Stegostoma tigrinum: one gene and its partner. The protein of the gene in region 2 purifies or fractionates together with the protein of the main gene of each other region. This does not show direct contact. Links are inferred from orthologs where the notes say so. Each region holds a gene or a part of one and is shown on either strand. Other genes may lie near its edges.

Region 1 (15,766 bases), on a different chromosome or scaffold from region 2:
TTCTCTTACTCTTAAAACTATTCAAAATGGTGCCAGACCATGGTGGCAGTGGAAAAGCCTTTCACTGTATTTTACTGTTTCTCTTGCCGTAAAATATATGTGACTATAAAATAATTCATTCATTCCTCACTAGTCAGTCCTAAGAGAACCGTCTTTTCTAACCCGAGGGTAGACAGCAGGATGCTGCCCCATCACTTTAACTAGACTGATACATTCTGTGCTAACAGCCTGTTTGTCCTGTGGTAGTAATGAACCATTGCCAATGATCAGGATTATATACTTTTGTATATTGGCCAGGAACCTGGGTGGACATCCAGGTTTTTCAAGGATTTTTCAAAGTCCATCTCTGATTATAGTGTCAGATACCTTTGTGTGATCTACAAAAGTGATACACAATCCCTCGACTGGCTCATGACAATTTTCTTATAGGTGTCAAGCATAAATTCTATGACTGCAGCGCTTCAGTTTACTCTGATATGGAACTGGCTCATTGAGAGGCTTTCTTCGATAATGGGAGGCTGTCACCAATTCAAACATATTCTAGCCAGGAACTTCCCAGCAACACAAAGGAGGGTGATTCCACAGTTGTTGCAGCAATTTGGCTTTTCCCCTTTGTATTCATGTGAGATGATAACAGCGTCATCCTGTGAGGATCCTGCCTCACTTCTAATAGGTCACGAAAATCTCATGAAACTTGGTATATAGAGTAGGGCTACCATACTTCGAGCTTCAGGTGGAATCCCATCAGTGCTCCTAAGGGGTTTTGCTGGTCCTTACACAGATTTTCATGGGAACTGGTTTAAAATCAAGGATTGTTGGGGGATTGTTGCATGTTTTGAAGGCAATAATTTGAGATACATTGTGTTGGGCAGCATGGTGCCTTAGTGGTTAGCACTGCTGCCTTACAGCATCAGCAACCCAGATTCGATTCCATCCTCAGGTGATTGTCTATGTGGAGTTTGCACATTCTTCCCGTGTCTGTGTGGGTTTCCTCTGGGTACTCTGATTTCTACCCACAGTCCAAAAATGTGCAGGTTAGGTGAATTGGCCATGCTAAATTGCCTATTCTGTCCAGGGATGTGCAGATTAGGTAAGTTACAGGGGTTGGGTCTGGATGGGATGCACTGAGGTTTAGTGTGGACTTGTTAGGCCAAAGGGCTTGTTTCCACACTGTAGGGATTCTATGATTGTAAACACTGAACCACATAGCCTCTGGATGTAGCAGTAAATGAAGTGTAGTTTGAGATGAATTGGGATTGAGGGGAGGCACACTGGATCTGGTACTTGGTAATGAACCAGGCCAGGTGTTTGATTTAGTGGTAGGTGAGCACTTTGGAGAGAGTGACCATAATTCTGTTATGTTTACTTTAGCGATGGAAAGGGATAGGAACATGCCACAGGGAAAGCTTTATAGATGGGGGAAGGGCAATTATAATGCGATTAGGCAAGACTTAGGCGGTTAGCAAAATGCGGGGGATGGGGACAATCAAAATGTGGAGCTGGTTTAAGGAACAGATATCGTGTGTGAGTGATAATGGGAACTGCAGATGCTGGAGAATCCAAGATAATAAAATGTGAGGCTGGATGAACACAGCAGGCCCAGCAGCATCTCAGGAGCACAAAAGCTAATGTTTCGGGCCTAGACCCTTCATCAGAGCTGTCCTTGATAGGTATGTCCCTATCAGGCAGGGAGGAAGCGATAAGGTAAGGGAATTGTGGTTTACTAAAGAAATTGTATCTCTTGTTAAGTGGAAGAGGGAGGCTCATGTGATGATGAGACATGATGGTTCAGATGAGGCGATGGAGAGTTACAGATTAGCTAGGAAGGATTTAAAGAGAGAGTTAAGAAGAGCAAGGAAGGGACATGAGCAGACATTGGCAGGTAGAATAAAGGAGAACCCTAAAGCTTTCCATAGGTACATGAGGAATAAGAGGATGACAAGGGTAGGAATAGGGCCAGTCAAAGACAGAAGTGGGAAGTTGTGTGTGGACCCTGTGGAGATTGGAGAGGTGCTAAATGATTATTTCTCATCTGTTTTCACTGAGGAACAGAAGAATATTGTAGAGGAGATGACTGAGTTATGGGCTACTAGAATTGAAAGGATTAAGGTTATTAAGGAGGAGGTGTTATCAATTCTAGAAGGTGTGAAGGTCAATAAATCCCCTGGGCCAGATGGGGTTTTTCCGAGGATTGCCTGGGATGCTAGGGAGGAGGTGCCAGAGCCTTTGGCCTTGAACTTTAAGTCCTCATTGTCTACAGGTTTAGTACCAGAGGACTGGAGGATTGCAAATGTTGTGCCCTTGTTCAAGAAGGGCAGTAGGGATGACCCAGGTGATTATAGACCTGTGAGCCTTATGTCTGTTCAAGGAAAAATTTTGGAAAGGATTATAAGATATAGGATTTATAATCATGTAGCAAGCAACAATTTGATTGGAGATAGTCAGCATGGATTCATCAAGGGCAGTTTGTGTCTCACAAACCTCATTGAGTTTTTTGAGAAGGTGACCAAGCATGTGGATGAGGGTAGGGCAGTTGACATGGTATACATGGACTTCAGTAAAGCCTTTGATAAGGTTCCACATGGTAGGCTAATGGAGAAAATACAGAGGCACGGGATTGAGGGAGATTTAGCAGTTTAGATTAGAAACTGGCTTTCTGTAAGAAGGCAACGAGTGGTGGTTGATGGAAAATATTCAGCCTGGAGTCCGGTTACTAGTGGTGTGCCTCAAGGATCTGTTTTGGGACCACTGCTTTTTATCATTTTTGTAAATGACTTGGATGCAGGCATTGGTGGATGGGTTAGTAAGTTTGCAGATGACACTAAAGTCGGTGGAGTGGTTGTCAGTGTGGAAGAATGTTGCAGGTTGCAGGGAGACTTGGATAAACTGCAGAATTGGGCCGAAAGGTGGCAAATGGAGTTTAATACGACAAATGTGAAGAGTTTCACTTTGGGAGGAATAATAGGAAGGCAGAATACCGGGTCAATGGAAAGATTCTTGGTAGTATAGATGTGCAGAGGGATCTTGGTGTCCATGTACATAGATCACTGAAAGTTGCCACCCAGGTTGATAGGGCTATTAAGAAGGTTTACGGTGTTTTGGGTTTCATTGGTAGAGGAACTAAGTTCCGGAGCCGTGATGTCACGATGCAACTGTACAAAACGCTAGTGTGGCCTCATTTGGAATATTGCGTGCAGTTCTGGTCGCCCCATTACAGGAAGGATGTGGAAGCATTGGGAAAGGTGCAGAGGAGATTTACCAGGATGTTGCCTGGTCTGGAGCGCAGGCCCTGTGAAGAAAGGCTGAGGGACTTGGGCCTGTTCTCATTGGAGAGAAGGAGGCTAAGAGGGGATTTAATAGAGACATACAAGATGATCAAGAGGATTAGATAGGGTGGACAGTGAGAGTCTTTTTCTGAGGATGATGACTTCAGCTTTTATAAGGAGGCATAGCTATAAATTGAGGGTGATAGATTTAAGACAGATGTCAGAGGCAGGTTCTTTACTCAGAGAGTGGTAAGGGCATGGAATGTAGTTAACTCAGCCACATTAGGGGCATTTAAACAGTCCTTGGATAAGCATATGGATAATGATGGGATAGTGTAAGGGGAGGGGCTTAGATTAGTTCACAGGTCGGTGTAACATCGAGGGGTGAAGGGCCTGTTCTGCATTGTATTGTTCTATGTTCTATGTACTATACAAATAGTGTTTGGTTGGCAACAATAAATTAATTGGTCTGTGGATAATTGGTGAGAATCTGGAATGCACTGTCTTGGAAGGTTGTGGAGCCTGGAACCCTTTAAAACAAATTTGGATCAGGACTTCAGATATCATAATATTCAGAACTTTGCGTCAAGTGCAGGAAATTAGGATTAGCACACTTTTTATGGTAGTTTTGTCAGTACAGATTTGATGGGCTGAAGGGCCTTTTCTGTGCCATATCTGTGACTAGTGACTAGTTATCAGTTATCAGTTATCAGTGACAAAGGTCTTCTGCTTTCCAACAACTATTTGATTGGATCTCTAGTTGCTGAAAAAGTTACAGAGAAAGGCTTTCAGGTCTTCACCAGCTCAGGAGCGCTCTCTGTTCTCCGAAATAAAATTAAGCCTGGAGCATTTGCTGTTCACTGTGGCTTTCAATTAATAAGTCAGAGACTTATAAGTATGGACAAGCCACTGTACTTCCTGCAAACTGATGAAAGCATCGAGAGAAGGAAGAATGAGAAGCAAAGTTCTGACCTGCATAAGAAACAAAAGATTTTTTTCAATTGAATCTTTTCTGTTATCAGGGATCACTGACTTACCTTCCCAGTCCTTCACTCTATATTTATTTTCTGTCTCAGTCTGTCCGTGTGTGAGTGTAAGGGGGAGTTAATAGAGGGTTTGGAATATTAATTAGTCGAGTTACATGCTGACATCTTATAATGACTACCTGTACCCATATTTTAATTACCTGCAACAAATAATATTTTTTGTTCAGTACAGAAACTTGATGCATGCTTTCTGTTAACCTGAGTCTGAAAATTAGGTAAATTGGGGAACTTTGTGAAGTTTTTAAAAATTTTTAACTTTTATGATGACTCCAGGAATAATGGGTGTTAATTTCCAGCACACTGAATCAGTGAGTCAGGACAAGTGATTTAACAATGAGAGATCAGATGTAGAGGAAAGACCAAAATAGAAGATCTAAACTCAGAAGGTGGGAGTCAGTAAGGGACGGGATGATTGTGCACGGCAGGATCTTGAGACAAATCTAATAAATCTGGAGGGATTGTCAATGTAACAGAATTCCGGCTGGTGACAATGGTTCCAATCTGAAATTGTTGAACTCAAAAGAAGTCTGAAGGACTATTAGGCACCAAATTTAGAATGAAGTGTTGTTCCTTAATCTTACGTGGAACTTCATTGATATAATAGAGGTGATCAAGGACTGGGAGGTCACTGACATTAATGTAACTAGAATCAGGTTAGTTTGAAGCTTAATTAGGCACTGAATAGACATGTTCCACTCCTCCAAACTGCCTCTGGTAAGCCACTCACTCTGGGCTTGATGTTGGTACTCACATTTCTAGAACATAGAACATAGAAAAGTACAGCACAGTACAGGCCCTTCGGCCCACGAAGTTGTGCTGTGGAATAATCCTAATCCAAAAATAAAATAACCTAACCTACATTCCCCTCAATTCACTCGCTTAAATGTCACTAATGACTCCACTTCCACAACTACCACTGGCAAACTATTCCATGCGCTCACAACTCTCTGGGTGAAGAACCTCCCTCTGACGTCTCCTCTGTACCTTCCTCCTAACACCTTAAAACTATGACCCCTCGTAGCAGTCAATCCTGCCCTGGGGAAAAGTCTCTGGCTATCGACTCCATCCATGCCTCTCATTACCTTGTACACCTCGATCAGGTCACTTCTCTTCCTCCTCTCCAGAGAGAAAAGTCCAAGCTCAGTCAACCTTTCCTCATAAGACAAGCCCTCCAGTCCAGGCAGCATCCTGGTAAACCTCCTTTGCACCCTCTCCAAAGCTTCCACATCTTTCCTATAATAGGGCAACCAGAACTTGACACAATATTCCAAGTGTGGTCTCACCAGGGTTTTGTACAGCTGCAGCATAACCTCGCAGCTCTTAAACTCGATCCTCCTGTTAATGAAAGCCAAAACACCATATGCTTTCTTAATAACTTTACCCACCTGGGTGGCAACTTTGAGGGAGCTATGCTCTTGAACACCAAGATCCCGCTGTTCCTCCACACTGCTGAGAATCCTGCCTTTAATCCTATGTTCAGCCTTAGGTTCAACCTTCCAAAATGCGTCACTTCGCATTTGTCCGGGTTGAACTCCATCTGCCATTTCTCAGCCCAGCTCTGCATTCTGTCACTGTCTCGCTGAAGCCTGCAATAGCCCTCGATACTATCAACGGCACCTCCAACCTTTGTGTCATCAGCAAACATACTAACCCACCCCTCAACCTCCTCATCCAAGTCATTTATAAAAACTACAAAGAGCAGAGGCCCAAGAACAGAGCCCTGTGGGACACCACTCAACACTGACCTCCAGGCAGAATACTTACCATCTACAACCACTTTCCGCCTACTGTCAGCCAACCAATTCTGAATCCAGACAGCCAAATCACCCTGTATCCCATACCTCCTGACTTTATGAATGAGCCTGCTGTGGGGAACCTTATCAAATGCCTTGCTGAATTCCATGTACACCACATCCACTGCTCGACCCTCGTCAACCTGTCTCGTGACTTCCTCAAAGAACTCAATAAGATTTGTAAGGCATGACCTGCCCCTCACAAAGCCACGCTGACTCCCTTTAATCACACTATGCTTTTCCAAATAGTCATAAATCCTACCCCTCAGAATTCTTTCCAAAACCTTGCTGACCACAGACGTAAGACTGACTGGTCTGTAATTTCCAGGGATTTCCCTATTCCCTTTCTTGAAAAGAGAAACAACATTTGCCTCGCTCCAATCTTCCTGTACAACTCCTGTGGAGAGTGAGGAAGCAAAGAACTTCGCCAGCGGCTGAGCTACCTCCTTTCTTGCTTCCCTGAGCAACCTAGGATAAATCTGGTCTGGCCCTGGGGACTTATCAATCTTAATGTTTGCCAAAATTTCCAGCACATCAACTTCCTCAATCTTGATCTGTTCAAGCTGGTTTTCCTGCTCCTCAAAGCTATCATTCACAGCAAGGTCCCTTTCCTAAGTGAATTAGGTCCTGAGCCTAAACTGCTGACCTGGACGTTATGACGTTGGAACAACCAGCTGCTGCTATAATGCTAGCTTCTAATTCACAGCTAGTGAACTCCTGCCTTCTGAACCCACAATCACCACTTCGTAGTCATAGCATTATTCGGCATAGAAACAGGCCCTTCAGCCCGCCATGTCCAGGTCATCCAAAAAATACCAAACTACACTAATCTCAGATACATGCACTTGATCCATAGCCTTATGCATTCTAGCATTTTAAATGCTCATCTAGATGGTTTTTAAATACTGTGAGTGTATCTGTCTCCACCACCCTACCAGGCAACGTGTTCCATATTCACCAAAAAGTAAAACAAAAAACTGTGGATGCTGGAGATCTGAAACATAAACACATGTAGGTCCAGCAGCATCTGTGGGAAGAAAGCAGGTTTAACATTTCAAGTCCGGTGACCCATTTTCAGAATTGTTAGTAGTTCAGACAAAGTAATATTTATGCTGAAGATGAGGTTAGGTATGGAGGGAGGGGGAGATGGAAGGGCAGAGGTGAGCAAATAAGTGGATACAGAGCCCAGAGAGAGACAGAAAGAGATATGAAAGGGTAGCTAAACAAGAAGGTTATGGATAGCAGGCCTGGACAGAAGAAAGGCTGAATAAGTGAAATAAGACCTAAGAGTAGGAGAGAATAGGTGAACTGTACTGACAGTATACCATATAATATGACAATAGGCCGAGGAGTACATGGGAATGAGTGACAGTGCTAAAAGCAACCAATGTCACAATAGGTCCAATGTAAGGTGGTAAAATACATGGAAGGATAGAATCTGGCTCTAAAGTTATTGAACTCAATTTTGTGTCCTAGAGGCTGCAGGTCCCCAAGTGGAAAACGAGATGTTGCTCTTCAAGCTTGCACTGATGCTCGCTGGAACACTGCAGCAGGCCTGTGTCAGAAATGGTGGCATGGGAACACGGTGATGTGTTGACATGGCAGGCAACTGGAAGCTCAGGATCATTCTTAGGGACAGAGCGTAGGTGTCCTGCAAAGTGGTGACTCAGCCTATGTTTTATCCTCCCTATGAAGAGGAGAAACATTGTGAGCAGTGAATGCAGTAGACTAGATTGAGTGAAGTCCAGAAAAATTGCTGCTTCACTTGGAAGGTGTGTCTCGGACCTTGGATAGTGAGGAAGGAAGAAGTAAATGGGCATGTATTACACCTTCTGTGGTTGTATGGGAAGGTGCCATTGGGATGTGAGGAGATACTGGGAGTTGAGGAAGAGTTGACCGGAGTGTCAGGGAGGGTATGGTCCCTGTGGTAGGCTGACAACGGAATGTGTCTGGTCATGGTGTCCTCCTGGAGTTGGCAGAAACAGCAGTTAATGATCATTTGGGGCGCAAAGTCTGGTGGGATGGTAAGCAAAGACCATTGTTGTGGGAGAGAAGAGATGCAGTGATGGCAGAAAAGCAGGAGATTAGTTGAACACAGCTGGGTGTTGAATAAAGAGGCAAGAAAATCTTGTAACCACTTTGTAAAACATTGGGTAGGCCACAGATGAATATGTGCAGTTCTGGTCATCACATAATCGAAAGGATGTGATGGCACTGGAAGGGGAGTGGACAAGATTCAGAGCTTCGCTCTTTCTTCAGGTGTTACTGAAAGTGGTAGTATCAAACACAGAATTTTATGCTTTATTTAACCAAGCCTAAGATGCTGTTCAATCTTTATTCAGTTAGAAGGTTTTAATTGATTAATATGTGTAGGTAAATTCCTGAATTCCTTTCAAGTCATTGTCCTGAGAGAACTAAAGGTTTTATCACTGTAAATAAGAGGTGACATTTTAGGTTGGACAATGCATGCTAGGTTATAACTGCATGTTATAAATTCTGTGTCTGATACTACCTCTCTCACTAACACCTGAAGAAGGAGTGAAGCTCTGAAAGCATGTATTTTCAAACAAATCTGTTGGGCTATAACCTAGTGTCATGTGATTTCTGATCTTATCCAGTCACTCCACATAAGTGAGACCTTCCATCCCAGGCAATATCCTGGTGAATCTTGTCGGCAACCCTTCCAGTGCAATCACACCCTTTCATTTATGTGATGACCAGAACTGCACATATTCATCTGTGGCCAAACGAATGTTTTACAAAGTTGTTACAAGATTTTCCTGCCCCTATATTCAACAACCAGGCTAATGAAGGCAGCCATTCATATGCAGTATCTACCTGTGCTCACACCTTCATGCATCTATGGAATCGTGTACCAAAATTTCATGTTAACCTTTCCATTGTAAAGGTGTCTGCTCTTTGGAAAAGTTTCTGCCTTTTATGCCTGTTGTGATGACATCAAAGATAACTTACCTTCTGATTCAATGCTACCTCAGGTTACCTCTAACGCGAAAACGAGTGATTAGTTTGCAGGCAACAGCTTGTGAAGGCTTTTGTGGTGCAGTGGTAGTGTCTCTACCTCTGGGCCAGGATGCATGGGTTCAAGTCCGACGCACTCAAGAGCTGTGTCATAACACCACACCTCTCTGATGAAGGCTCTCGGCCCGAAACGTCAGCCTTTGTGCTCCTGAGATGCTGCTTGGCCTGCTGTGTTCATCCAGCCTCACACTTTGTTATCTTGGATTCTCCAGCATCTGCAGTTCCCATTATCTCTGGCCATAACACCTTTGAACAGGTTGTCGAGGTAAATATCTGGAGGCACTAGCTACAGAGAGACAGCAAACAGAAGAGGGCAGCACTGGATATGTAAATACAAATTAATTTAAATAAAAACTGCCCTCTGATGGAAATGAGGAACTTATCTGTTAGTTCCTGGCACAGGGTGGAGCTAACATTGTCTGAGAGAAATTAAAGAGGCAGGGAAGACAGCTAAACTGATCCCTGCCGTGCATGGATAGCTTGTAGGTAAGTGAAACAGGGAGTCTATGTTGGGCAGTATAATAATGTGTGGATTCAGTTATAATCTATTCATTTCAATGTATTTTCACAGTGAGTGTGGGGAGAGTAGCTTATTTTGTTGGTTGGTTCATTTTCCTGTTTAGTTTGGATTTGGGGAACTGCAGAACTGCAAATGTTTTTGATCTGTGTTTCTGCAAACCAGTCCTGTTTGATGAATAATTAAGGAGAGAGGCCTCTTTGATTCTACTGTCCCTTGGTGAAGCAATGTGCTTGGGAGTGGGACTGAGGTTACAATCTCACTTGTGCGTTCCAGCCCCAGGTTCCTTCAGTATCTGTGCCGTAAATTACAGGCTCTGACGGCTGTAAAGCTGCCCCTGTCTGCAGTGTGGCAAAGCTTTATCCATCTTCACTGAAGGTGTGATCCTTTCAAAACCATCAGTAAATGTGCAAATAAACCCAGCACTTCAGCTTTTGCCACAGACAAAAGAGTTATTTGAAGAGAGGATGAAGGAGGCTGGCATTAAAATTGCAATTCCTCATTTTAATTTTAGCTCCCAAACCACTAGTGTTTACCTTTGGGATAATAGGTTACACCTTGACTTAAATGTAAATCTCAAAAACTTGCAAAGATCACACCAACAGATGAACAAGTACAGATCAAGCATTGTGAGAGGAGCTATCATTTGGATATGGGATTAAAAGGATGGCCTGCCTGTCCTTTTAGTTGGATTGAAAGATCCCTTCATGAGGCCATGAGAAACGGACATGGGTGTACAGAGTCCTGCTCTTCCAGCCTGCTCCATCATTTGGAAAGATCATGGCCATCAATTCAAATTTCTACTGTTCTCCCTATTTCCCTTCAGTCTAAAGTTATCAATCTCAGTCTTGAATAGAGAATCACAGAAACACACACCCCATCAACAAACAGCCAAGAGATAGTAAACTGTAACTGACCAGACCCTTAGGTGGTAAAGAAGGTGTACGGCATTGGTTGGGGCATTGAGTATAAAAGTAGGCAAGTCATGTTGCAGCTGTATTAGAATTTAGTTTGGCTACATTTGGGGTATGTGCAGTCCTAATCACCACACGAAGGAAGGATGTGAAGGCGATGGAGAGGGTGCAAAAGAGCTTTGCTAAGATGTTAGATGTTAACTGGATTCAAATGTATTAGCCAGTTACAGGGATTGTTTTCATGAGAATGTCAGAGGCTGAGTATCTAAAATTATGAGAGACATGAATAATTGGCATCTCTTAACCAGTTTGGAAATGTTAAATACTAGGGGCCATAGATTTAAGTTGAGGGGGGGCAAGTTTAAAGATGTGTAAGAAAAGAATTTTGACAGTGAGAGTCGTGGGTGCCTGGAACACCAGGAGAGGTGGTAGAGGCAGATACATTCGCAAAGTTTGAGAAGCATTTAGATAGACACACAAACAGGTAGAGAATAGAAGGATATGGACTACGAGCAAGCATATGGCATTAGTTTCGAATATCATCATGGTGGGCCAAAGGGCCTGTTCCTGTGCTGTACTGCTCTATGTTTATGTTCGCCCAGGAACACATTTTCCATTAATTGATAGCACCTGAAAGCCCACACCCAACAATAGACAGCACTCTGGAATACACATTCCATCAAGAGGCAGCAATCGGGAACCTGCACAACATCAACAGACAGCACCTGGGAACACACGCTCCATCAATAGTCAGTAGCCAGGAACACACACCCCCATCAATAGACAGCCAGTGGGAGCACACACTCCGTCAATAGACAGCACCTGTAAACACACACCCCATCAATAGACAGCACCCAGGAGCACACATCCCATTAATAGACAGCACCTCAGAACACACACCCCATCAACAGACAGCACCCGGGAACACACTCCATCAACAGACAGCAGCCAGGAACACACACTCCATCAACAGACAGCACCCAGGAACACACACCCCATCGACAGACAGCACCTCAGAACACACACCCCATCAACAGACAGCACCCGGGAACAGACACCCCATAAATAGACAGCTCCCAGGAATACATTCTCCATCAATAGACAGCACCTGGGAATACATGCTTCATCAGTAGATATCATGCAAGAAGATATTAAAATTCTGAGAAGCAGAATTATTTTCAAGTGGAGAGGTAGGGGTTAATCAATGATAGGCAACATGGCTTTCTAAGGCAGATGTCATGCCTAACGAATTTGATTGAATTTTCTGAGTGAACTGGGTGTGTAGATAAGGGTAGTAAAATTGATGCTGATGGACTTCAGTAAGACTTTTAATGAAGTATTCTGCGGCAGGCTGGGTAAGAGTGTAACCATGTACGGGTTTCATGGAAATTTGTCAAATTGGATCCAAAATTGGTTTAGGGTCAGAGGGTGATGATAAAGGGTGTTTTTGTGACTGAATGCCTATATTCAGTGGCATACCACAAGGTCTGGTGGTGGGTTCTTTGCTGTTTGTTGTGTACACTAATGATCTAGACATGACTGTAAGAAATATGATCAATAAGTTCATGAATGACATGAAAGTTAGTGGTGTTTTCAATAAGTGAGGAGGAAAGCCTGAAATGGCTGGTCAAATGGGCTGAACAGTGGGAAATGAAATTTAATTCTGAAAGGTGTAAGGTGATGTACTTTGGGAGGACTAATTAAAAAGTAGCATGTTGGGATATATAGAGGACGAGATGGACCTTGGTGTGTATATCCATAGATCCTTGATGGCAGCTGGGCAGGTAGGTTGTTAAGTTTGTTAAGAAGGCATATCGGATACTTGCCTTTATTAATCAAGGCACTGAATACAAGTGCAGGGAGCTTATGATGGAGCTGTTATTATGTTAGTTATATAATATATATATAATGCCCCAGCTGGAGTACTATGTGCATTTCTGGTCTCCATGCTGTAGAGATTGCTCTAGAGGAGCTACAGAAGAGATTCACTGGGATATTGCCTAGGCTGGAGTGATTCAGTTATGATGAGAGGCTACCTGGAGTCTTCCAATCCTCTAAAATTTTTAACGAATCCAAAAGTTTTTGAAAGATTAAGATCAGTCCATCCTTTATCTTTGTAACTACTTCCTTTAGTGTACTTGGCTATAAGTCATCAGATTTGGGGATTAATTGGTCTTTAGCCCCATTATTTTCCTTTGTATTTTTGTTCTAATGATAGTGATTGTAAATCTTTCCTTTCCTCTTTTATCCCCTCGCTAATTTAGCATTTTTGGAATACTATCATTGTCTTGTACCATGAAAACTGACTTAAAGTATTTATTCAGCAGCACCTCCTTTTCCTGGTTCCCCTTATAATTTCCCAGTCTCTGTTTCTAGAGGGTCAATGTCGAGTTAATAATGACACTGAGTTTCAAACATCTTCCCCCACTGCTTGAACAAAGCAACAGTACAAACACAACTCACGATGAGTTCTAGTAACTTGGTTTTATAAATCCAGCATCTATGTCCACAGCCCTTGATTTAAAAAAAGACTTTTTTCCAATTTTGATCCACAATCCGAAACAAGGAAGAGTAAAGAGATATGATCTTTATATGCCACCACCTTTACAAAAGATTAAACAATAGATTAAGGGGGAGGTGATAGCCTAGTGGTATTATCACTGAACTGTTAATCCAGAGACCCAGAGGGTTCGAATCCTGCCACGGTAGATGAAGGAATTTGAATTCCAATAAATCTCTGGAAGTAAGAGTCTAGTGATGACCATGAACCCATTGTCGATTGTTGGAAAAAAACCCATCTGGTTCACTAATGTCCTATAGGGAAGAAACTGCCATCCTTAACTGGTCTGGCCTATATGTGATTCCAGACCCACAGCAACGTGGTTGACTCTTAACTGCCTGGTCGGCAATGAGGGGTAGGCAATAAATGCTGCCTAGCCAGCGACGTTCTCATTCTATAAATGACTTCATAGAATCCCTAGCGTGGAAACAGGCCCTTTGGCCCAACAAGTCAACACCAACCCTCAGAGGATCCCACCCTGACCCATCCCCGTAAAAATCCACCTAATGTACAAATCCCTGAATACTACAGGAAATTTAGCAGGGCCAGTCCACCTAGCCTGCACATCTTCAAACTGTGGGAGGAAACTGGAATACCCACAGGAAATCCACACAGACACAGGGAGAATGTGCAAACTCCACATAGACAGTCACCCAAGAATTGAACCTGGGTCTTGGCGCCGTGAGGCAGCAGTGCTATCCACTGAGCCACCATGCCATCCTACCGAATAAAGGGAAAAAAAATTAAGGAATGCATTTCATCTCAAGATATCTGACACATAAACAGCAAAACAAAAGACTTACATTCATTCATCCTTCCTACCCCCTATCCAATGTTATGCAATGTTTCAGCATTTCTTAAACCTTTTAACTTATTCAGTCTTTTTACACTAAGAACAATGCATTTGTGATCAGATTAGTGGATAGCTCAGATATGAAATCCACCGCCTAGAAATGCGATGGAGCAGGTTCAAATTAGGTTTCCATCAGAGCTTTAGATGATTATTTAGATAGTAAAGGTGTGCAGGGAAATGGAAAAGGCAGGAGATTGGCAATAGGTCATAGGACTGGTGCAAGCATAATGGACTGAACAGCCTCCTTCTGCGCCACAACAGTTCTTTGACTCTGTGATCCTGAGGTGTCATCTTTTCCAGCAATATGAATAATCTTTCCATTGAATGGTGAAACGATAGACATTATCCAGAGAGTCTGGCACTTTGAATTTAAACTTTTCAATGAATGCCAGTGGATTATGGTCAATATAGATTATTGTATTATTGCTGTTATGGTTAAAGTAGATTTCAAAATATTGATGGGCTAATAATAATCCAAAAGTCTCCTTTTCTATAGTAGATAGTGAAAGATAAACTGGATGCTGCCTAGACCACATGATAGAAAAGGAAATTCTGTCCCTAGAAGGGGTCATAACTAATAAGGAAGAAGTCTTGGAGAGTCAATTGGTCCTGAAAATGAATTAAGTGCTGGGACTGGATGAAGTACGTCCAAGGATTTTGAATGAAGTGAGGGTAGAAATTGCAGAGGCACTAGCATGATCTTTCAATCTTCCCAAGACTCTAGGGAGGAGCCAAAAACCTGAAGAATTACAAACACTATGGCTTTTTCAAGAAATGCTGGAACGCTAATCCCAGAAATTACAGACCAATCAGTTTAACTTTGGTGGTGGAAGAACTTCTAGAAATAATTATTCAAGATACAATCAGGAGCCAAATGGAAAAATTGGGTTGTTTAGGAAGAGTCAGCATGGATTTCAAAGGGAATGTCGTATTTAACTAACTTGCTGGAGTTTTTTGAAAAAGTAACAGAAAGGCTTGATGAGGATAATATTGTTGATATGGTGTACAAAGATTTTCAGAGGTATCTGATACATTGCCACACAACAAGCCTGCGAGGAAAATTATAGGTCATAATAAAACGGACAGGAGCAATGTGGATACAGATTGGCTGAGTGATAGGAAATGGATATCTTTTGGGCTGGAGGATGTTTGGTAACGGAGTTCTCCAGGGATCAATATTGGGACGCTTGCATTTTATGCCAGAATTCAATGGTGAGAGGGGAGACTTTCCAAGTTTTCAGACAGCAAACAAACTTGGAACAATTGTAAACTGCAAGGATAAAAGTGTGGAGCTCCGAAATGTCAATTAAGTTGGTGGAATGGGTGGATAGGTGGCAGATAAAGTTCGAGATGATTCAGTTTGGTCAGATAAACATTGAAAGCCAATATAAAATAGTGGGTACAATTCAAAAGGGGGAACAGGAGCAGAAGGATCTCAGTTTGTATGTGCACAGATCATCATTGACCGTGGCAGAGCAAGTCCAAAGAGCAGTAAATAAAGAATACAGTGGTCTCAGCTTTATAAATAAGGGCACAGAGTACAAGAGCAAGGAGGTGATGTTGAACTTCTGGAAGACACTTGTTAGACCTCAGCTGGAGTATTGTGTACAATGTGGACACCACGTTATAGGAAAGATATGAATGCATTGGAGTGCAGAGAGATCTCTGGCAACCACCTAGAAACGGATATCCATTTCAAGCTCACCGATTCCCTCAGCTACCTAGAATACACTTCCTCCCACCCACCTTCCTGCAAAAATGCCATCCCCTATTCCCAA
Region 2 (16,004 bases):
AGTTAAAAATCTAACATCAAAATTCTACAGGGGCTGCAAATATGCAAATAACAGTGACTGCAGCAATCTCTATGAACTTGTCAACATACGCTGCCAGTTCACCCTCCTGAACTGGCCTGCAACTCTAGGAGATTGCATATGCATAATTTGAGTCTCTAAGTAAAAGAATCTTGACAAAACTGTAACCTGTCGAATGAGATATAACTGTATTAATGGTGAACTAATCTGATCATTGCTGAATAGGCTTCACTGTCTCTGAAAAATTAACCTCACATTTGTAGAAAGTCATATTTCCCTATTATGACAAAAACAATGAATTTCAATTTAGCATATTTTTTCAAAATTTTGGTTCTGCTAGTTCAGCTTCAACCTCAATCCATTATGTATGTCTCAATTATTTATTTTACCCTGTTAACTATTAACTAGAATCAAAATACATTCTTGGTTTTCTATCTGTGCATGTACAACGACCTTGTCTGTTGATCCTTCTTGATAAAGTCATCGTTGTTGCATGCCTAGAGACTCAAATGACTTGACAGTAGATTCAAACGGTAGTCGCAAAGTGGGATTCCACACCGTAGAGAGAGAAATAGATCTTTGTGGGTAATTTTCTTAGAGGCTAGTGGAGAAAACTGCTCTTTTCGCCTGACCCTAATCTTTCTCTGACTATTGATCCTGTTCAAGCAGGTTGAATGTTCCAGCATTTTCTGTTTCATTGATTTTCAAAATCTGTTCCTAAGTCCTTAACTTACGTGAAAATAATTCAGCAAATAGGCAATGCAGTTTCCTAAAAAAAATTCATTTAATTGATCTCCCTTTTTCTTGCGAACTGTTAACTGAGTGACAATTCTTGATTGCCGGTCTGCATTCATGTGCCCCACAAATTTGAGGTCACTCAAAACTGTTTCCCTTGTCCTAAGTCATACTAGATCCATTTCCTCATATCCACTGTCCTCACTGATCAGCATTGACTCCTGGAGAAGCAATGCACAATTAAAAAATTCTTGTCCTTGGGTTTTAAATTGCATCATGGCCTCTTCACTCCTGATCTCTGTATTGTTGTCTCACTCCACAACCCTCTGAGATAACTGTGCACCTGCATTTCTGGTGTCTTGAGCAGTCCTGATTGTAATCACACTGTTAGTCATCAGCAACTGGGGTCCTAACATTTAGAAAATTCCTTCCCTAAATATCTCCCCTTCTCTTTCCTCCTTTAAGATTCTACATAAGACCCAGCTATTTGATCAAGATTTTGTTTATCAGCCCCATTATCTCTTTAAATGTGCAGTGTTAAATTTTATTGTATTACTCTCCTGTGAATTATCTTTGGATCTTCAATTACATTAGGGATTCAATATAAGTACAAGCTGTTGTTGAATGGTGTATTTTAAGTTGTAGCACTGTAATTTTTTTTAAAAAGTGTCTTAGCCAATGCTATATTGTATTCTATCAAACACAGTACTGTGACATGCGTTTCTTTGAACAACGTATGACACAGTGACCTCTGGTTTAGTCCCAGTGCCAAGCTCAAACGAGGGAAAGAATAAACGAAATAAATCAATGGTTGAAGACGGGATTGAGGTTCTTGGATCATTGGAAACTCTTCTGGGGCAGTAAAGATTCTAAAGAAGGGTCTAGGCCCAAAACATCAGCTTTCCTGCTCCTCTGATGCTGCTTGGCCTGCTGTGTTCATCCAGCTCTACACCTTGTTATCCCTGTTCACAAAGGATGGGTTTCACCAGAACTGGAAAGAGACCAATATCTGAGCAAATCTTCCTGCTAATTCTATTAAGGGAAACCGTAAACTATTAAAAGGGATTTGGGGGACCCTAAGTAATGGCAGAGTAAATAGAAAGATAGATGAGGATGGTTTTGAATCTGAAAAGAACAAGTTAACTTAGAAAAGACAGACAATAGCAAGTCAGAGAATGAAATAATTTTGAATAATTAAACTGCATTTATTTCAACGCAATGGGTAAGGCTGATGAACTCATGGCATTTTTGGGATTGGGACATCATAGTTATTATAGAAACCTTGCTGAGGGATGGACATGAGTGGTACCTCAATGTTCCAGATTTCAGATGCCATGGAAAGGATAAAAAAAGATAAAACAGGAGGGGATGTGGCATTTTTGATTGAGGAAAACACTACTGCTGTAACTAGAAGATATTTCTGAAAAATCATCTAGTGAAAATGTACAGGTTGAAGTTGGAAATAAAAAAGGAATGATCACCTTGTTGAATTGTACTATAGATCCCTGACAGTCAGAGGGAAATTGAAGAACAACTACGTAGAGAGACCTCAGATATATGCAAGAATAATAAGGTTGTAATAGTTTAAATTTCCCAAACATTGCCTGGGACCACCATTGTGTCAATGGTTCGGATGGTGAAGAACTTGTTAAATATGTTCCAGAAAATTTTCTTTATCAATATGTAAATGTTCCTAATAGAAAAGGAGCAAAACTTGATCTTCTCTTGGGAAATAAGGCAGGCCAAGTGACTGAAGTGATAGCACAGGAACACTTTTTGTCTAGCGATCATAATTCTATTTGTTTTAAAATAGTTAAGGAAAAGGATAAGCCTTCCATAAAAAAGTTAAAATGTTCTTAGTTGGAGTAAGGCAAATGTTAATTATAGGAGACAAGAACTTTCAAAATTCATTGGAGTAAATTGTTCACAGGAAAAGGGATGTCTGATGAGTGGGAAGCTTTCAGAAGTGTGATAGCAAGACTTCATAATCATTATGTTCCTGTGAGAGCAAAAAGGTACAGCTGGTAGGATTAGAGAACAAATGGATGAATAAGGATATTGTGGTTTGAGTCAAGAGTAAAGAGTAAAGAAGAATCATATTAGGCAAGATTTAGGGAGCATAGGATGGGGAAGGAAACTGCAGGGGATGGGCGCATTAGAAATGTGGAGCTTATTCAAGGAAAAGCTCCTGTGTGTCCTAGATAAATATGTACCTGTCAGGCAGGGAGGAAGCTGTAGAGTGCGGGAGCCGTGGTTTACGAAGGAGGTGGAATCTCTGGTCAAGAGGAAGAAGGCGGCTTATGTTAGGATGAGATGTGAAGGCTCAGTTAGGGCACTTGAGGGCTACGAGGTAGCCAGGAAAGACCTAAAGAGAGAGCTCAGAAGAGCCAGGAGGAGACATGAGAAGTTGTTGGCGGATAGGATCAGGGTAAACTCTAAGGCTTTCCATAGGTATTTAAGGAATAAAAGAGCGACGAAAGTAAGATTAGGCCCAATCGAGGATAGTAGTGGTAAGTTGTGTGTGGAGTCAGATGAGATAGGGGAAGCGCTAAATGAATATTTTTCAACAGTATTCGCTCTAGAAAATGACAATGTTGTCGAGGAGAATACTGAGATACAGGCTACTAGACAAGGTGGGATTGAGGTTCACAAGGAAGAGGTATTAGAAATCCTTCAGAAGGTGAAGATAGATAAGTCTCCTGGACCGGATGAGATTTATCCTCGGATCCTCTGGGAAGCCAGGGAGGAGATTGCCGAGCCTTTGGCATTGATCTTTAACTCGTCATTGTCTACAGGAATAGTGCCAGATGACTGGAGGATAGCAAATGTGGTTCCCCTGTTCAAGAAGGGGAGTAGAGACAACCCTGGTAATTATAGACCAGTGAGCCTTACCTCAGTTGTTGGTAAAGTTTTGGAAAAGGTTATAAGGGATAGGATTTATAATCATCTAGAAAAGAATAAATTGATTCGGGAGAGTCAGCTCGGTTTTGTGAAGGGAAGGCCGTGCCTCACAGACCTTATTGAGTTCTTTGAGAAGGTGACCAAACTGGTAGATGAGAGTAAACCAGTTTGATGTGGTGTATATGGATTTCAGCAAGGCGTTCGATAAGGTTCTCCACAGTAGGCTATTGTACAAAATGCGGAGGAATGGAATTGTGGGAGATATAACAGTTTGGATCGGAAATTGGCTTGCTGAAAGAAGTGGTAGTTGATGGGAAATGTTCATCCTGGAGACCAGTTACTAGTGGTGTACCGCAAGGGTCGGTGTTGGGTCCACTGCTGTTTGTCATTTTTATAAATGACCTGGATGAGGGCGTAGAAGGATGGGTCAGTAAATTTGCAGACGACACTAAGGTCAGTGGAGTTGTGGATAGTGACGAAGGATGCTGTAGGTTGCAGAGAGACATAGATAAGCTGCAGAGCTGGGCTGAGAGGTGGCAAATGGAGTTTAATGCAGACAAGTGTGAGGTGATGCACTTTGGTAGGAGTAACCAGAAGGAAAAGTACAGGGCTAATGGTAAGATTCTTAGCAGTGTAGATGAACAGAGAGATCTCGGTGTCCATGTACACAGATCCTTGAAAGTTGCCACCCAGGTTGACAGGGCTGTGAAGAAGACATACAGAGTTTTAGCTTTTATTAATAGAGGGATCGAGTTCCGGAACCAAGAGGTTATGGTGAAGCTGTACAAAACCCTAGTGCGGCCGCACTTGGAGTATTGTGTACAGTTCTGGTCACCGCACTATAAGAAGGATGTGGAAGCTTTGGAAAGGGTGCAGAGGAGATTTACTAGGATGTTGCCTGGTATGGAGGGAAGGTCTTACGAGGAAAGGCTGAGGGACTTGAGGCTGTTTTCATTAGACAGAAGAAGGTTGAGAGGTGACTTAATTGAAACATATAAAATAATCAGAGGGTTAGATAGGGTGGATAGGGAGAGCCTTTTTCCTAGGATGGTGACGGCAAGCACGGGGAGGGGGGGGCATAGCTTTAAATTGAGGGGTGAAAGATATAGGACAGATGTCAGAGGTAGTTTCTTTACTCGGAGAGTAGTAAGGGAATGGAAAGCTTTGCCTGCAACGGTAGTAGATTCGCCAACTTTAGGTACATTTAAGTCGTCACTGGGCAAGCATATGGACGTACATGGAATAGTGTAGGTTAGCTGGGCTTGAGATCGGTATGACAGGTCGGCACAACATCGAGGGCCGAAGGGCCTGTACTGTGCTGTAATGTTCTATGTTCTATATTACATATAGACAGCTGGCTTCGAATTAATCTATTGAACAGTATAAAAACAGCCTAGGAACATTTTTAACACAGAGATCAGGAAGGCAAAGAGAGGATACAAGATAGCCTTGACAAATAAAAGATTAAGGTTAATCCAAATATTCTACATAATACATTACAAGTGAGAGAACAACGAGAGAGAGAGAGAGAGAGAGAGAGAGAGTACAGCCCCTTAAAGATCAAACAGATCATCTTTGGAGTTGAAAACGATATTATAGGAATATTTTGCATCAGGTTTTACTGTTGAGAGAGAAATGGAGGCTAGAGAACACAGGGAAATAAATATTGATGTTTTGAAAACAGTTCACATTACAGAAGAGGAAGCGCTAGAGGTCTTAGCAAATATAAAGTGGATAAATCTCCGAGACTTGAACTAGGGGACCCAAGACACTGTGGAAGTCAGGGATGAAACCATGAGGCCCTTTGCGGAAATATTTGCTTTGTCTATAAATTTGAGTAAGGTACCAGAAGACTGACAAGTGTCTAATGTTGTGCCTTAGTTTAAGAAAGGATGCAAGGAGAAGTCTGGGAACTATAGACCAGTAAGTCTGACTTTGTTAGTGCGTAGGTTGTTTGAGGTGATTCTAAAGGATTTAAATGCATTTGGAAAGGCAAGGAATGATTAAGGATAGTCAGTATGGTTTTGTGCGAGGGAAATCACACTTTCACAAACTTGATTGACTCTTTTGAGGAAGTAACTAAGAAGACTGATGACGGCAGATCAGGAGGCATTGTTTACTTGTTTAGTAGAGCTTTTGACAAAGTTCTGTGTGGTATTTCTTTAAATGACTTGAATGAGAATATATAGAGGGCATGTTTAGTCAGTTTACGGATGACGCTAAATTTGGTACTACAGTGGACAATGAAAATGTCTGACAAAGAAGGTACCTGAGATTACAAAGAGATATTGATCAATTGGGTCAGTGAGCTGAGGAGTGGCAGATGGAGTTTAAATTTGGATAAGTGGGACGATTTGCATTTTGGTAAAACAAACAAGGGCAGGACTTATAAAATTAAAAGTAGGGCCTTAGGTAGTGTTGTAGAGGAGAAAGATCTAGACCTCAGGTACATAATTTTTTGAAAATTGGCATCACATATAGACAGGGTGTTTAAGGAGGTGTTTGGCATGTTTGCCTTCATTGCTCAGACCTCCGAGTATACGAGTTGGGCTGTCGTGTCTTCTGGAGTACTGTGTCCCGTTCTGGTCACCCAGTTATACGAAGGAGGTCATTAAACTGGAGGGGGTTCAGAAGAGATTTACCAAGATGTTCTCAGGAATAGAGGTTTGAATTATAAGAAAAGGCTGGATATTTTTCACTGGAGTGCAGCATGTTGAGGAGTGACCTTACAGAGGTTTATAAAATCATGAGGGGTATAGGTTAGGTAAATGGAAGGTATCTTTTCCCTGGAGTGGGGGATTTTAAAGACAAGGGGCTATATTTTCTAAGATGAAATGAGTAAGATTTAAAAAAAAACATTAAGGGCATCTTTTTCTAAAAAAAAGTGGTTCATGTATGGAATGAACTTCCAGAGGAAATCGTGGATGTGGGTATAGTTACAACATTTAAAAGACATTTGGGTAAGAACATGATTAAAAAATGTTTGGAGGGATAGGGGCAAAGCGCAGGCAGGTGGAACTAGTTTAGTTTGGGATAATGGTCAGTGTGGGCTGGTTGGAGAAAATGGTCCATTTCCACGTTGTATGCCTCTTTGAAGAGGCATGTAAGTTGAAAACTCCAAGGACAAATAAAGATGACATTTCAACTTTATGAAGGAAAGCATATTTTTATCATTAAACTTACCAAAAGCATTGTCCCAGAAATTTTGTGCCTTTCCACCACACTGGCAGGTTCACTTAAATTATTCTGTGTATAAGTGAGAAACAAGGAAATATTTAGCTTCAAATATTAGCTTGTCCAAAAGTCACAATTGATCTAAGTCCAAGTGATATATTTGAGGCAAAACCTTGCATAATTAACAATGGGCTTTAGGTTTATAATTGGAATAAGTGCGTCAACAAGAGATCACATCTCATCCTCCAATGGCACTCCTTGTCCACAATAATGTTTTTTACCTAACAAAAAAGTAACCTTCCTGGATTGCCTTAAATATCTATTGCAGTTTCCCCCCCCCGTATATTCGCATTTATCTTGTCACGTTTTTGTGAGCTATCGCTGTGTATAAACAATTCTTAAAGTGAAACGAAGGCGACGGTTTAACAGCTACTTAAGCCTGTATGAAATTTGTATTTAAACGAGAGGAAAGTTCCGTCTTACCAGTCTCAGGAATTCTGCTAGCTCCCTAGGTCTCCAACTTTCAAACTCTTCCCGAGTTGGTAACTTTGTGGCCATTGTACGCTGCAGAGCTCGCTACCTCGGCCTTTGATCTGATCGTTGTGTTTTTACTTCTGATAACTAATTCCTGCTCCGCTCTCTCCCGGTACAAGGCGGAAGCTTTCAAGACCTGGAGTTCACAGTATGCAATGGGACTCCCCCCACGTCTATTTCACGCAATCGCATGTTAGTCTGACCAAAATGACGGACAGTTACAAAAGAAATTTGGAGATTATACCTGATGGACACCTGAATTGCTGAGAAAAGTCGTCAGCTGCTAAAGTGTAACAAGCAGCTGTAGAGGGCTGTTCACCATTCCGCTTGTTATATTATTACATATAGGAATATGGATATATTTTCTGACATGAAGCTTTTTGGTGCTATTTTTATCACGCTTTTACGTTGATTTCAGTTTATGGTGCAAACGAAATGCATAAATATTTTGGAATTATATAAATAATGCAATTATTTGTATTTTTTGAGGGGTACATCTGAGATGACATTTATACGCCATCCCGAATCATCCTTAAAGAAGGTATTGGTGAGCCTCAGCCTGAAGCTGTTGTAGTCGCTGTGGTGTAGAGTCTCCCTCAATCCTGCTAGAGATTTAGTACGGTGAACGCGCATTCAATGAGTAATGTCACACCGCTCAGGTTTACTGCAAAGTAGAAAGTAAATTTTCCAAACCTGTCCAGTATTTACAGGGTCAGGTCAGGTGTGAGGTGGAATATTTTTGCCTGGAACAGCAAAACTCAACAAACTCAACACCATTCAAGACCAAGAAGTTTTCTTGGTTGGCACCCCATCCTCTGCCTTTCATATTTATTCCCTCCACCACGGGCACAGCGGCAGCTGTATGTACCATCTACAAGATACACTGAATCAACTCACCAAGGGTCCTTCAACAGCGCTTTCCAAACCTACAAACTCTGCCATCAAAAAGGACATGGGGTAGCAGATGCTTGGGAACACCACCACATGGCAAATTCCTCTTGAATCCACACATCATTCCTGACTTCCCTGAACTCCCTTCCTAAAAATATTCTGAGTGTACCTACACCCATAGATCGCAGCAGTCCAAGAAGGCAGATCACTACCACCTTCTCCAGGGCAATAATGGTGGGCCTTAATGTTGGCTTACCCTGTAATACCAACTTCCCATTAATGAACAAAAAGAAACATTTATCTTTGTACAAACAATTCCGTTTGCCAATTCCTGAGCAGCTAATACAGCACTGCATAGTGACCTCAGTGTCACATGCAGGTGCGTTCTCTACATCTGAAGATCATGAATGGACGCTATCACGAGCTCACTGATGTACATGAGTTAATGTAATCTAATGTAGTGAAACTGGGCATCTGGCAGTATCTTTGTTATTCACTGCTAAAATCTCAAATATTGTGACATGGCAGTGCCAGTGTTGGAATGGAATGGACAAAGTCAGGAGTCACATGCTATCAGGTTATAGTCCAACAGGTTTATTTGAAATCTCAAGTTTTCAGAGCACTGCTTCTTCATCAGGTGAAGCAGAGGGAAGCGCACAGCCACAGAATACATGGGTGGAAATATAATGGCAAAACAATTCCAGGTAATTAAGATTTTTTAACAGATTAGTACAGGTAGTGTTTGGGGGGTGTTGACAGGCTGAATAACAAGTCTTTGCAGGTGATCTAAAGTGTCAACAGCTGAATAACAAGTGAAGGATTGACCTATGAACCAATTGATTGAGGCAATGAGATAATTACATCATTAAGTGAGAATGCCTTAATAGGTTACTCCAAACTGTTTGCAATCTATTAGACTGGAGTTAAAGGATCAGTTTTAGTCATGGGGAGAGGAACAGTCATTGAGAGAGGTCGTTCCACTTCAAATCAAATGTTTTTAAGGGGTCTTCTTGACAGTTTTATTTTGCATGATACTGTTGATATTTGACCTTTTTTTGGTTTTCAGTAGCTCCTTTTTGTTCTCACTTACACCTGGTGAAGGGGCAATGCTTTGAAAACTTGTGACTCAAATAAACCTGTTGGACTATAACCTGGTGTCATCTGACTTCTGATCTTGTCCACCCCAGTCCAACACCGGCACCTCCACTGCATTTTATTTTTATCTGCTGCTGTACTATTGTAGTAATGTTACTTCTGAATTTGTGTTAACATATGGGGTATTTGGGGCTCATACAGAAGCAAAATGAAAAGAATTTGTCAATATCCACAATAATCCTGCCTGCTCTGTTAAACATAATGTTACAACTCATGAGGAAATCATTAACACTCATGACATTAAAGTAATTAATGATACCGGGACTAAGTCAGAAACATTGCCTTCTGAAGTGAACACCCTGAAATATATTTTTATATAGAAATAGCGAACAACCTAAAGATACTTCCCAAGGACATGTGAGGCCACTGCTATGTGGTTATATGTATGGCTCCAACACAGTCAATGCATTTTTCACAATTTGTAGCATATTGAGATGTTTTGAAATGTAGCAGCACGGTGATTCGATTTATTATTGTCACAAGCAGTGATGTACAGTGGAAAGTATTGTTTTGTGTACTAACCAGACAAATTATACCTTACACAAGTACACCAGGGTAAGAGAACAGAAAACAGAATATCATATTACAGCTACAAAGAAGGTTCAGAGAAAGATCAACTTTAATACATGAGAAGTCTAGTCATAAGTTTGATAACATCACTGAAGAAGCAATTTTTAAGTCTTTTAGTATGTGTTTTCAAACTTTTCCATCTTCTTCCCAATGGAAGAGGTTGGAAGAGTGTATAACTAGGGTGGGAGGGGTCTTTGCTTATGTTTGCTGCTTTCCCACGGCAGCAAGGAGTGTAGATGGTGTCAGTAGAAGGAAGGCTTTTTATTGTGATGGACTGGGCTGTACTCACAACTCTTTTAGATTAGATTCCCTACAGTGTGGAAACAGGCCCTTCGGCCCACCAAGTCCACACTGCCTGTTGGAGCATCCCACCCAGACCCATCCCCCTATAACCCACACACCCCTGAACACTGCGGGCAATTTAGCATGGCCGATCCACCTGGCCTGCACACCTTTGGACTGTGGGAAGAAACTGGAGCACCTGGAGAAAACCCATGCAAACACAGGGAGAACGTGCAAAGTCCGAACAGACAGTTACCCAAGGCTGGAATCGAACCCGGGTCCCTGGTGCTGTGAGGCTGCAGTGCTAACCACTGAGACACCGTGCTGCCCCAGTGTAATTTACTCGGTGTAATTTCTTGTGGTTTTGGAAAGAGCAGTTGCCATACCATGCTGTGATGCATGCAGATAGGATACCTTCTGTGGTGCATCTGTAAAAATTGATAAGAGCCATTGTAGATGTGCTGCATTTCTTTCGCTTTCTGAGGAAATAGATCTGTGGGTGTGCTATCTTGACAGTGGTGTTGACGTGTGTGGACCAGGATAGCCCTTTGGTGATATTTACTCCGAGGAACTTGAATCTCTCGACCTCCATCTCAACACCATTGAAATGGGCAGGGGCATGTCAACCTGAAGTCAATGACCAGTTCCTTTGTTGAGGCAGAGATTGTTATATGAATTAGATATTATAATGTATAATAAATATATAATAACTAATATTATAATATATGATATATATGGTATAATTAAATACCACTGTGGGTCAGCATGGTGGCTCAATGGTTAGTACTGCTGCGTCACAGCGTCAGGGACCCAGATTCACTTCCAGCCTCAGGCAACTGTCTGTGTGGAGATTGCACATTCTCCCTGTGTCTGCGTGGGTTTTGTCCCACAGTCCGAAGACGTGCACGTTAGGCGAACTGTCTGTGCTAAATTACCCATTGTGTCCAGGGACGTGTGGTCCAGATAGATTAGCCATGGGAAATGCAGACTTATAAGGATAGGGATGAGTCTGGTTGGGATGGTCTTTGGAGGATGTGTGTGGGGTTGTTGTGTTGAATGGCTTGCTTCCGCACTGGAGGGATTCAGTGAATTCTATAATAAAACATAAATGCAAATCTTCATCTTTGCAGCTCATCACTCTCCTTTTTCATCTCCTACCCCTGCTTGCAGCCCCTTGTTGTCTTTTGTGGTTCTCTTCCCCCAAATACAGTCCCTCTTCACCCTTTGCAGGTCCTCTCTCCATTTTGTGACCTTCTTTCCCCTTTGCAGAAATGATCTCCTTTTTGCAACTCCTCTCTCCCCCCTGCAGCATCTCTTTCCACTTTGCAGCACTCTACCTCACTTTGCAGACTTTCTTGTTCAATCTTTTCTCCCCTCCCTCATCCTCATCACAGTCAGTCTCTAACTACACTCCACTTTTGTTCCAGGTGGCCAGCCTCAATTCCACACAGACACTGATTTTCCCCCCACCCCCTGCCCCCGGCCTGCCTCCCCTGTCATTTTGGAAGCATCTTTTCCCAGGCCCTGAAATCACCTGGCATTCTTCCCCTCCTAAAGCAGCCTAGCACCATGGCCTGTCCTTCCCTTTTACTGCACGGAGACTGGGTTTTATTTACATGTGCAAGTACACTGGCTGTGACCAGCCACATCTGACTCAGTCTCTGAAGTCACGACTCTCTGAATCCCCGTTCTAATTTTCTTTTCTTTTTTTCTCCTCCTTTTTCTCATCCACCACACTGCCATTGTATAGAAGTAGTGCTTACATTTTCCCCACATTACCAGTGATTTGCATGTGTGTGCAGTGACTCAGTAAAAAAGACGTCATTGGACAAGAACTTCATTCAGTATTTCCACCACCAGAATAAAACACTCAGGTGGCCACTGAACCATTATGAAGCAAAACCCAAAAAGGACAATGCTTACATGAAGAAAAAGTGAAGGGAGAGAATAAGGATCATCCCCTGTTTATATCTGTCAACCAGGGTTCCGTGATTAGCTCAGGTTAACAATCCCAATCAAGGATCCCACAGCCAATGAATTCAACATGGTTCCAATCACTAATCCAGGGGAGTAGCTTTGCTCTCCATTACTACTACCTTCTGTCTACTGCTCCAACCACAGCTGCTTCTCTCCTTTATTTGCTACTGTGAATCTACCGGCAGCAAGTATATAAAAAGAGAACAGCCTGTGTTTGAAGGAACAACTTTTCACCACTTCTGTGCATTCTATTTATGGGCTCAACTTTCCTCTGATTATTGGTTCCAATGACTGAAGTTTCCCACACACTTGTTACTCACAGGTGCTGTCAGCTATGAGAAGCTGGGAGCTCTTTGAAATAACGGGAGCAGTTTGCTGCAGCTGAAATTTGGGGCCCAAGGAAGCCTGAATGTAATATTTGCTTGGTGTAGCCCATGAAAGTGGAGTTTGGAAAATTTCAGGAGCTGTGTCAGCTAAGTGGTGCTGGCTGTGTGCAAATGAGACAAAGTCATGCGAGTAATTAAAAGCTTGAGTTCAGTTTGCAAGTTCAGTAGAACACAGTCTCAGAAGAAGAGATTGAAATACTGGGAGGTGAGCAGCCATTGAGTTGGTCTGAGCTGGGGAAACCTTTGAGGAAATATGGAGGTTTGATCTTCAAAAGTGAAGAACTGAACTTCATTGTGAAGAAGACAGTTTTAATGAGCTTTTGTCACTAAGGAGTGAACCATTTCAACTCCCCCTCCCATTCTTTAGATGACATGTCCTCCTGCAGTGCCACAATGATGCCATCTAAAGGTTGCAGGAACAGCAACTCATATTCCACTTGGGAACCCTGCAGCCCAATGGTATCAATGTGGACATCACCAGCTTCAAAATCTCCCCTCCCGCCACTGCATCCCAAAACCAGCCCAGTTCGTCCCCTCCCCCCACTGCATCACACAACCAGCCCAGCTCTTCCCCTCCCCCCACTGCATCCCAAAAACCAGCCCAGCCTGTCTCTGCCTCCCTTACCTGTTCTTCCTCTCACCCATCCCTTCCTTCCCACCCCAAGCCGCACCTCCATTTCCTACCTACTAACCTCATCCCACCTCCTTGACCTGTCCGTCTTCCCTGGACTGACCTATCCCCTCCCTACCTCCCCACCTATACTCTCCTCTCCACCTATCTTCTTTTCTCTCCATCTTTTCTCTCCATCTTCGGTCCGCCTCCCCTTCTCTCCCTATTTATTCCAGAACCCTCACCCCATCCCCCTCTCTGATGAAGGGTCTAGGCCCGAAACGTCAGCTTTTGTGCTCCTGAGACACAAGTTAAGCTGAGTTCATTAAATCATAATTAAATAAAACCAGTCTGACTTGAAAAAGAAACATTTATATCAAAAAGGATTGAAACCAGTCAGGCTGGAAGAAGCCTCTAAACCCCTGATGTATTTCCACCTTTATTTCCAAAATATAAACTTTTCATGAAAAAAAGTCAAGGAGACCAAAATTGCACAGAGTACTCCAAAGTGTGATCTTACCAAGGTCCTGTACAATTGCACAGGACATCCCTGTTCCGCTACTCACATCTCCTTGCGGTGAGGTCAACTTGCTATTTCCCTTTTCCATTGTCTGCTAGATCTGCCAGCTTACTTGGTACAAGCACTCACTTGGTAAAACAGAAATATTTTCACTTTGAGTTATTCATCTGTGGATTTATCTTCCCCAAAAAACCACAGAGGTGGGATTGGTGAATATATTAAAGACTGAGTTGCTGGATGAGCAGGTAGGAAATTTGAGTTAAGGCCAATCAGATCAGTCGTGATTTTATTGACTGGCAGAGCAGATTTGAGGGAGCGAATGGCCTGCACCAGCCCATAAATCTTCCAATTTTTTGTTTTTGCATTCTCTCAGATTACCAAAAGTTAGCCAAATTCCAGTTTGCTGAAACCAGTCAGGCTTGAAGAAGCCTATAAACCCCTGATGCATTTACACTTTTATTTCCAAAATGTAAACTTTTCATGAAAAAAATGTCACCTACAATTATCCCGCTTGGAGACAATGAACCTTAACAAATACATGAATGAGCTCTCTTTCAGGAAAAGTTTCTCTCTCGTTCTCACTGTTTTTTTAAGGAAGGACAAATTCTAGTGATGAAGTGAATAAAGAAAGATCTTAGCATTGATGACTCCAAGATATTTCAAATATTCATATCCTTCACTGAGCCAGGACATACATAACTGACCGAGGTCTCAGGTTAAAATCTAACGCCTTGAGACCACTCTAAGAAATGAAACTGCCTGTTTTCTAATCTTCCTTTTGTACATTATGCTATCAGTCATTTATCTTTGTAACTGCACTTGTGTGTGTATTTAATATTGTGTCTACATAATTTTTCTTGGAATCCGGCACTAATAAAACACTCTTCCTTTTACTCAAGAAAACCTTGTAATTGGTTACTTATTGTTTCTGCTGAACTAATCAACTGCAATTAGAGTAAGGCATGGCTGTGTGCTGAAAATGACATAACATCTTTGTTGCTCCCAAACGAGGAGGTTAAAAAGAGTGGAGTCAATTCATCCCTCTTTACCAGGTTGTAACATCAGAGTCAAGCATCTTGGTTGCTCTTAGAATGAAGTCAAGTGTAGAAGATAGAGAAAGTACCATCTAAATCACAAAGGTACCAACAGCATAACTAGTTAATTTTCCTGACAGAATAATCAATGGAAAAGGCACAGAACATTCTGGAAGACATCACCTATGTGTAATTTTGACAGACTAAATTGTTTTTTTTAAATTCTATTTTATATAAGTGGGATTTATATTTATTAGAGCAGCATACCACTAGAATCTAGCTTTATTTGTGAATACTCAGTATTCAGAAGGGGTTTATTTAGTTTGTTAATACCTCAGTTAATTTGTTCACTGTTAGAGTTAAGATAAATAAATTGTTTCTTGTTGATTTTAAAGTGAGTATCAGGGAATTATTTTATTTGACCCCTAGAAGTTGCTGAAAGGCAGGTTATACCACTTCTCACACTCCTACAGATTATATAGGGTGAAACACTCCTCTTTGGGTATTTCAGTTTTTTTTTCAAGGGGTGGTTGACCTCCGCTTTATAAAAGAATCGAAAGATTGGATTCCAATTAGATACTCCAGAGCAATTCCTTTAAATTAGCTAAAGATATATATGATAGAGTTTTGTGACCTATCTACCATGCACCGAGCCCCATTCTGAAGGAAACCCTTTATTCTAACATGCATAAACCTCTGCCTGAGCTCTTTGAGGCTCCACATGGGATCTATCCCACATTTTAACCACACGAAACTATTGTTGGGTCATTACTTGAATCTGCAATTAGGGCTAGAGTGATGGAACATCTCAAAAGCTTTCATCCATTCAGAGTGCACCACATGGGTTTGTAAATCACAGGCTGGCCTGATGGATGAGTTTGAGTTCTTTAAAATTTGCCTCAAGTACCGGACAAGGGAATGGGTAAAGACATTATGTTCTACCTGGAAGCATTTGATAAAGTCCCTCTTAAAAGACTGATAGCTAATATTGGAATTCATGGATTGAAGGCAAGTTATTGGTCTAATTAAGAAATTAATTGCGTGTGGGAGATAACAATTAGCAATAATGAGCAGGCACTCAGGAAGTGGCTCATGATGTGTCGCAATGTGCTGCAACTATTTACCATACTTATAGTGATTTAGATAGTGGGATAGAAAGCCTCATAACCAGACTTATCAATAACTAAAGATTAGCAGCATTTTAAGCAGTATTGTTG

The links.
Region 1: the proteins of blnk (region 2) and btk purify together in Homo sapiens (affinity purification with western blotting; 5 studies listed by BioGRID and IntAct, with this or other methods). This does not show direct contact. The link is inferred for Stegostoma tigrinum from reciprocal best matches to the Homo sapiens genes BLNK and BTK.

What each region holds. Positions count from the first base shown.
Region 1 is NC_081368.1:71,919,665-71,935,430, forward strand, and holds the start of btk (tyrosine-protein kinase BTK), read left to right. Parts: upstream 1-9,541; 5' UTR 9,542-9,630; intron 9,631-15,766. UniProt on the Homo sapiens protein: Non-receptor tyrosine kinase indispensable for B lymphocyte development, differentiation and signaling. Binding of antigen to the B-cell antigen receptor (BCR) triggers signaling that ultimately leads to B-cell activation.
Region 2 is NC_081373.1:40,743,125-40,759,128, reverse strand, and holds the start of blnk (B-cell linker protein), read right to left. Parts: upstream 7,508-16,004; 5' UTR 7,387-7,507; coding exon 7,312-7,386; intron 6,901-7,311; coding exon 6,838-6,900; intron 1-6,837. UniProt on the Homo sapiens protein: Functions as a central linker protein, downstream of the B-cell receptor (BCR), bridging the SYK kinase to a multitude of signaling pathways and regulating biological outcomes of B-cell function and development.